Linked DNA regions of Nothobranchius furzeri. The protein of the gene in region 2 purifies or fractionates together with the protein of the main gene of each other region. This does not show direct contact. Links are inferred from orthologs where the notes say so. Each region holds a gene or a part of one and is shown on either strand. Other genes may lie near its edges. The genes, in order: pex26 and pex1.

What was found.
Region 1: the proteins of pex1 (region 2) and pex26 purify together in Homo sapiens (affinity purification with western blotting; 3 studies listed by BioGRID and IntAct, with this or other methods). This does not show direct contact. The link is inferred for Nothobranchius furzeri from reciprocal best matches to the Homo sapiens genes PEX1 and PEX26.

What each region holds. Positions count from the first base shown.
Region 1 is NC_091741.1:43,002,448-43,006,983, reverse strand, and holds pex26 (peroxisome assembly protein 26), read right to left. Parts: upstream 3,071-4,536; 5' UTR 2,941-3,070; coding exon 2,738-2,940; intron 2,650-2,737; coding exon 2,509-2,649; intron 1,764-2,508; coding exon 1,438-1,763; intron 1,355-1,437; coding exon 1,214-1,354; intron 1,138-1,213; coding exon 1,040-1,137; 3' UTR 608-1,039; downstream 1-607. Other genes in the region: llph (protein LLP homolog), read left to right, coding at 4,153-4,366, 4,488-4,536. UniProt on the Homo sapiens protein: Peroxisomal docking factor that anchors PEX1 and PEX6 to peroxisome membranes. PEX26 is therefore required for the formation of the PEX1-PEX6 AAA ATPase complex, a complex that mediates the extraction of the PEX5 receptor from peroxisomal membrane.
Region 2 is NC_091759.1:22,190,202-22,194,017, forward strand, and holds part of pex1 (peroxisomal ATPase PEX1), read right to left. Parts: intron 1,818-3,816; coding exon 1,192-1,817; intron 1,115-1,191; coding exon 995-1,114; intron 930-994; coding exon 809-929; intron 693-808; coding exon 586-692; intron 1-585. UniProt on the Homo sapiens protein: Component of the PEX1-PEX6 AAA ATPase complex, a protein dislocase complex that mediates the ATP-dependent extraction of the PEX5 receptor from peroxisomal membranes, an essential step for PEX5 recycling.

The DNA.
Region 1 (4,536 bases), on a different chromosome or scaffold from region 2:
TTCGGTCTTCCTCACAAATCCCTCCATAAACTCCAACTTCTCCAGAACTTGGCAGCCCGCATCATTACCAGAACTCCCTCCTTCCACCACATCACCCCTGTTCTTCAGCAGCTCCACTGGCTCCCAGTCACTTCCAGAATCCAATTCAAAATTCTGCTGTATACATTCAAAGCCATCCATAACCTAGCTCCCCCGTACCTCTCAGACCTCCTTCATCCTTCAACCTGAACCCGTTCCCTCAGGTCCTCCTCCTCCATCCACCTCTCTGTCCCACCTTTCTGTCTGGTCACTATGGGGAGCAGGGCCTTCAGTCGCTCTGCTCCCCAGATCTGGAACTCACTCCCTCCTGACCTCCGTAACATTGATTCCCTCACTCTCTTTAAAACCAGACTCAAAACCCACCCGTTCCGTCTAGCATTCCAATAGTTACTCTCTTTGCTCCAATCCGTCTGTTTGTTTTATGCTGTTCTATCTTTTATTTTTGTGTATTTTATCTCTGTCTGTAACGTGTCGAGTGTTTAGAAGGGCACTGTTGAAATAAAATGTATTATTATTAAATTGGTAACCAACATCTTTAAAAGACAAGAAAATAAGAACAATCCATGCATGGCGTTTATTTTTTATTGAGGTTAAGGGCACATCAGTAACCCTGGGTTATCATTCATGATGCAATATGTGTTTTGTTCTAGACCAACCGAAGCAACACCCCTCACCCCTCTGTGGAGGACCAGCCAATGAGAAGCAGCCTTCTCTTATTGGCTGTGACTATTTTCTACTCTAAACTGGATTTGTGACTTAAAACCAGAGAAATCCTGATGTCTGGATTTACGGATAGGTCAGTGAAGTAAATGTGAGTTTATGAACAGGTAAGTCGATTAACCGGTGACTACAAACCAGGTAATAAAATATGTTGGTGGGGAAATAAAGTCACAGCTAATATAATAGTTGAAGAGAGAATAAAAGTGGCTTTTAACAGATTTGAGAGAATTACATGAATTAATCAAACACATTACAACAGTGTCTTTTACAAGCCTTTGCTCTACGTGAGAGCTTGATAATATGGTGCAAACATGCTTCTCCACATCTGCCTGATCAGCGTAAGAAGTTTAGAAATCCACATGAATGAAGATGGATGGGCTGAAGGGAAAAACACAGATTACTCTTGTTAAACATTATAAAGGAAATAAGTATGACTATGAAAATTTCATCCAACCTGGATCCAGTCGGAGGAAAAGCATGTAGAGAAGAACAGCTGCAAGGAAAACTTTCCGGAGAGGAAATGAGCCTGAGCCGGTCATCAAGCATTTTCTATGCAAAAACCTCAGCATGGCTTCCAGTTTACGCATTACAGTACCTGCAGAACACAATCATTAAGACAGTTATGATTATGTCATATATTATTATACACACAGGAAGAACAGGGCTGAACTATTAGACCTCGAGTAGAAGCAGGACGTGCCGCAGCATCAGAGTCTGGAGGGCTCCTGGGATTTAAAAACAATTCCTCATTTTGTCGTGTTTTTTCCTCCACAACATCCAGCGCAGTTTGTCTCTGGTCTTCTGTGAATGCAGTCCTACCAACGTCACCTGAAATGAGCTCCCTTGCTTCCTCTAAATGTCCAAGAGGCAGAAGAATGTGCAGCAGATAAAGCTCTGCGACAGTACGAAAACCTGCCGCTTGGCCGTTTGAGGAGCAGTGTAACCAAACTCTGGTTGCCTCCTGCATCACAGCAGGCTCGCCCACCTTGGAGAAAAGGAGAATGCTGCAAAAAGTAGAGAACATTATAATTTCTGATTATGTCTTGGGGGGGGGGGGGTGTCAAAGTTTAACACATATTTTCTCCTCTTTATGATCATGTGTACACTAAGAAGTTTTTTCAGATGGAGTATGTGGATGGCTGCTGCTGTTGTGCCCTTGGGCAAGGCACTTCATCTGCCTTTCCTGCCAGTGGTGCAACATAGTGGCCTAGTCTCTGTCAAATTGTCTCAGGGTGGCTGTGGCTGGTATGCAGTTTACAATCACCACCACAATGGGAATAAATGATAAATCATCTGGACTCGAAAAGCACCTTTCAGATTCAGAGGACTCCAAAGTGCTTTACACTGCAGTCAGTCAGTTAATCACCCATTCACACACTGATGGTGAAAACCTACATTCTAGCCACAGCTGCCCTGAGGCACACTGAGAGACGGACAAAGACTGGGTTTGAACCGGTAACACACTGGTTACAGGGAAACTGACCCCTGACCCACCGTCACCCCAGCGTGTGAATGAATGAGTGAATATGATGGATTATCTTTAAAGTGTTTTGGGTCCTTGGGTCTAATCCATTAATATTAATTTGTGTTGTGTTTGAACTCATTTGAACTGAATGCAGGGCTTGTTATATAATCACAAATAACTAATTTATGATTCTATTCACATTTTTCAGTCAAAAGGTTTGGGATTTTACGGTTTTCATACTATTCAACATATCTAGGCAAGTGTGCTCTCTCTCTCTCTCTCACCATGTCTGCATTATCTTTGCAGGTATGATTTCCAGGTGCTCATATTGCTGCAGAACCCAGGAGAAGACACCATGCCACTGATTAAGCTCAGCCAGCGCCTGAACACCCAACATGCAGAAAGCGGCCTTTAACTCTTCACATCTGTAGAAGGAAAACGCACAACACAGGCTATTAAACTCAAATTTAACAACACAAAATAGCAGCTGTGAAGTGATTTGATGTCACCAACCTGTTCTCCTCCAACTCCATGCACGCGAGACTCTCCAAACCTCTGTTGCACGTGCCTAAAGCAGCGTGGAAGTCTCTGTGGACCATCATGAGCTCTGCAGCCGAGTCCAACATGTTAAACATCTGAGATAAGGAGGGCGGCGGAGGGCTAAAATCCGAACCAAAGCTGCCGTTTGAGCAGCTGCTCATGACACCAGAAGACATTTAAGAAAATAAATTTAAAATATATTTATGATACTATGTCAGTCTACGTCGGTAATATCGCAGATGCTACCGAACAAACTCTCATTATTTTATTTACACAAGATGACCGGAACTTCCTGGATTTTGATCACCAGCCAATCAGATGTCACAATCTTCAGATCGTCCTTAACAGCCAATCACGTCACGGCTTCTTTACTGTACACACGTGCACGGAGCAACGCGTTCTAAGCTAAAACGTTGAGCTATTTGTGAGTAACACTTTGTTGTTATCATATCATAATATCATATCAAATCATACACGTGTTATATTACTGTGTGATGTTTGGGAGCGTTTAACGCGGGTTTTTACTGCCGTAACAAGTAGAGTGGGGAAATATTTACTGTATCGTTTAGCTAGCTAGCGTAGTTTTAACGGGTTTAAATGGCAGCTTAAAGTTTAAATAGTAAATTTTTAAACTAATAACAATGTATTGCATTTAATTTACTCTTGTCGTACTGTATTTAGTCCAAATGTATTGTGTTTAGACTCGACCTAAGCACATTCAAACACTGTTTTCTTAGCATATTTGCTTTTAATTTAGTAGACTGGTTTCAAATAAACGTTCATCTATCACCTAAAAAACTTCGAAATAACTTTTAAAAAATTATTAAGTTATTTTAAGGAATTACAAGCAAGTTGGGTTTATTTGAAGTTAAATATGAACAAATGAGATGAATGGAGAGTAAAATAACACATTACTATGAAAAGAAACTCACAAGTGTTTAAAAGCAGGTTGAATGTACGAGGCAAACAAACGTAAGTGGCCCGTAATCTGAGACCATGTTGAGAACCTCTGTTATTTTCCAGCTGGGAGAAAGTTATCATTTAACCAGAGTTTAGTAGATTCCATACACCTCTATCTGATGGAAAACTCAATGACGGATGAGTGTTAAAATCTGAATATAATCAGTATAGTAGTGATTGGGTTGTATAATAGAAGCAGGTGATGGACAAATAAAATCATGACTAGAATAGAACCCTGTGGAACATCGTACATAAGAGCTTCTGATGCCAATTTAAAATTGAATTGAACTGCAAACTCAGTACAGCAGTAAATCACGAGGACTAAAACAGAAACAGAGAGGCTTGATCAATATTTTGGTGTTACTTGATTAATTCTATACAAATGTTTAACTTCGTTTTTTTCTTGTTTTTCTAAAGCATCTTTAAAAATGGCTAAAAGCCTCAGGAGCAAATGGAAGCGTAAAATGCGAGCGGAGAAGAGAAAGAAAAATGCTCCTAAGGAGCTTGCTCGACTCAAACAAGCTCTGAATTTGGACAAGAAAGGAGAGGCCGAAATGGCTGACTTACAGGACATCGCCACAGTGGTGCCGGCTGACAAGATAAAGAAGATGGATGTTGAAATGGAGGAAGAAAAGGAGGATGGTGAGGAATGGTGGTTATTTCTTACGTTTTTGTGGATTGTAACAATGTATTTATTTATTTATTTTTTTTTTGCTTCATACCTGCTTGCTTTCTTAAGCTCTTCCTTTCATTTATGTTTCAGATGGGAAGATGGACATGGACAAGACACGAAACAAGAAAACTCTGTTGGA
Region 2 (3,816 bases):
AAGCCGTTTTTTTAAATTAAATTTAAGCTATTGCCTGGAACCGGTGCTAACCACGTCGCGAACGTGGGATTAGCTATCCAGTTACCATTAATGTTGCACTTCCCCATGGCGCAAACTCCCACTAGCGTGCTCATCTAAAAACAGCCCCCTTTCACAACCAACCGAATGTGTACGGTTCCGCTTACGCCAACATCGTACACAAAAAATACTGAACTAGAAATTCACGAAAATTTTATAGAAATAAAAGAATCTTGTTTATTGGGTCTTTGGGTATTTAAGACCTTTGGAAACTCTAAGGATTATTTGTCATTTTTAAGGATTTTTAAGGCCTTAAATTTGGAAAAGCAAATTTAAGACTTTTTAAGACTTGTTAAGGACCTGCAGATACCCTGAAACAAGGTATTCAAAATTTTCTGCAAAAAAATGGCGTTTTACCCATGTTCCCATAGTGGAACCGGGCCTATTGATACTGCTGCAGCAGGAGGCTGTCACACCATCCTCCTACACCCTACAATCTCAAGCCCCAGCTGGCAAGCCCCTTCCAAATGTCTGCAGGAAGTTTGTAGCTCTAACGCACGAACGCACCTGTACGTCTCCCTTCTGCAGGACAGTGGGCGCCAGAAGAAAAAGCTGGTCGGGAGGATCGTTCAGCGGCTCCGGGTGCAGCACCGTCAGAGCCAGCTCCAGCTTTTCTATCGTTAGGAAATAAAAACAATTAGAATGGAGGTGTGTTTAATACGGCTTGGATCTAAAACTGTGGGTTTCTGTTTCTTCTGAAGCTCGTGACACAAGTTTAGAAATGAATCACCGTCGTTTCCGTGTAGGAGGACGGAGCTGCAGCGTGGAGTCAGACAGGCCAGAGGTTCGTGGCTCTGAGTGTGCAGCCAGCTGAGGAACGCCGTCTGGATCTCTTCGTCGGTCTCCTCGGGCTGAGGAGGAAAAATTCAGCACAAAAATGTACAAAAGCAGCAGAAACGTGAACTCCGGCGCCCACCTGAGGGCTCAGAGGCTGCAGGTGAACGCTGGTGGCGACTTTGATGGTCGACTTCACTGGTTTTATTCTCACTGTTGAATGTGGCTGGATGTGTAACTTGCTGCTCAGAGGCTGAGGGATCTGTGGAGACATGATTTCCTAACGGAGCTCAGTAGAAACAGCATGATGGTTTCATAGTTCTGCTCCAGCTGACTCACCCAGACTCTCCCGCTGTGGATCCCTCCCTCGTTGGGACCCGCCTGCGTCTCGGCGCAGTGGCACACGACCCTGACCACCACAGCTTCCTCCTCCGAAGCGCCACTTTCACCGCCGTGCTTCCGTTTCTCCGCAGCCTGCTTACTTTTGTCTCTCGCTTCTCTGGGGGATAAGACTTTGGAAAGGCGGCCGTAGGTGACCGCTGACTGGCCTCCTCTCGGCGCGGCGTTCCAGCAGAAGCTCCAGGGAAAAGTGTGAATGGCAGCAGCGTTGGCGTGATTTACGGTGCAAAGGGCGTCCGGCGGCGTGCTGCACACTCTGTAGATGGAGTCGGGGAGGATGGCGGGAACGTTCGGAACAGGAGGCTGCTCTTTAATCGGGTCGTAGCTGCCCTTCGTCACGTGTCGAAACAGGCTCTTTAGGTCAGCGACGCCACCCCACCGTCGGCTTTCAGGAGAGGAAGACGCTGCTGTCGCCTCCGAGGAGGATGGGAGCAGGTTTGCAGGGCTGTTGCTGAACTTCTCAAAAGACTCTGTGAGGGCGCCGATTCCCGCGCGGATCTTCGGAGACACGGCGAGCTCTGTGAACTGCTCCAGGCGGCCGTAGGGCACATGAGGGGCGAGCGACGCTGTGTGGAGTGGAAACAGATTGTTTGGGAAAACTATTTCACTAACACGAGCGGTGCTTTAGACGTCTCAGCTCTCCCACTCAATCTCAAATCACGTGCCACTAGCCTAGGTGTGAAACTGGACTCTGACCTTACAGTGTCTTCACAAGTCAGCGCTACTGTCAAGTCCTGCTTTGTCCAACTCCGCCGCATCACTCGTCTTAAGTCAGTCCTCAAACGCCCGGATCTCGAGTCAGTCATTCATGCTTTCATTACTTCACGTCTGGATTACGCAAACTCTGTCCTGATTGGGATTAATGCTTCAGCCTTAAACAAACTGCAGAAGGTTCAAAATGCCGCGACCAGATTTTTAACCAACACCGACAGACGCATGCACCTCGCACCCATCCTCGCAGATTTACACTGGCTCCCAGTCAAATTTAGGTTAACTTCAAGGTCTTATGTTTACAAGGCTTTGTACCGCCCATCCCCATCCCATCTGACGGACCTGCCGACCCCGTATGTTCCCACCCGTGCCCTTCGGCCAGCAGATCATCTGCTGCTTGTTGTTCCGAAGGTTCGGTACATGCCTTCATTACCTCTCGCCTGGACAAGGCAAACGCCCTCCTCGTTGGTGTTCCGGACTCTGCCCTGAATCGGCTGCAGGTCGTCCAGAACGCTGCTGCCAGGTTCTTGACGGGTACAAACCGACGTAGCCACATTACTCCTGTCCTGGCACATCTTCACTGGCTCCCTTCAGAGTGCAGTTTAAGTTACTGACTTTTGTTTTTAAAGCACTCAATGACCTCGCACCTCCCTACCTCTCTGCCCTTCTCACTCCATATGTGCCCACCCGCTCGTTGAGGTCGGCTGACCTTTTGCTGCTGTACACGCCGCGGATGAGATTTAAATCATGGGGGATCAAGCATTTGTCCATGCTGCCCCAAAGCTATGGAACTCATTGCCCATTGGAGTTCGGCAGGCTCCGTCTCTGGCGGTTTTTAAATCTTGTTTAAAGACCCACTTTTACACTTTGGCTTTTAGACAGTGACTCGTTTTAGTGTTCTATTGTATCATTGTTTTAATGTGTTTTTAGTATTCATCAAGGTTTATCTGCCTTTGATTGAGATTTTTATCCTTTGTTTTAGCTCCTTGTAATGGTTGTGTTTTGTTTTAGCCTGTGCAGCACTTTGGGCAGCTCCCATGCTGCATTTTAAACGTGCTGTATAAATAAACTATGCTGTGCTATGCTAAATCACGGGGGGAGCGTGCCTTCTCTTATGCAGCCCCAGAACTCTGGAACTCCGTGTGCGTCTGGCTCCCTCTGTTAGCAGCTTCAAGTCGGCCCTGAAAACGCACTTGTTTAGCATTGCCTTCCCTCCGTGACACTTTTCATGACAATCCAGCACCGGATTCGATTTTTTAATTCCGTTTTTATGATTCAGTTGCTCACTTTTGGCACCTCGCACCATCTGGTAGCTTATTTCGTTTTATTTGTGCCATTTCAAATGTTTTTGTCGTTCGTCACATTACTTTATTTTTTATAGTGCTGTTAACTGTTCTCCTATTTTATTGTTTTTAGTAGGAATTTTTATCTCCGACTCTTTATGCTTTGTTCTTATGTATTTTGCCTGTTCTTATTGTGTTTCTTGTTCAAGCATTTGGCTTTTCTATGCGCAGCACTTTGGTTAGCTGCCATGCTATTTTGAAATGGTGCTTTATAAATAAATATGGTATGGTATTTATGGATTTATTACTGATTAAAGTACAAAAAGGCTCTTTGATAACCCAACGCAATCACTTTGTCAAAGACACAAGATGGTCCACAGCAGATCTTAAAAACTGAAGTAGAAAGAATGAACGCACACTGTTACGGGCTCACACAGAGGTTAGGACACCAATAATCGCACATACTGGAAAACAAAACATAACGCAAGTCGGTGTGAGGTTTGTCAGAGACACGGACCGTTTCTCCACACTCGAGAACGCGAGTCCGTTCTTGCCTACTAGACAAGTATGT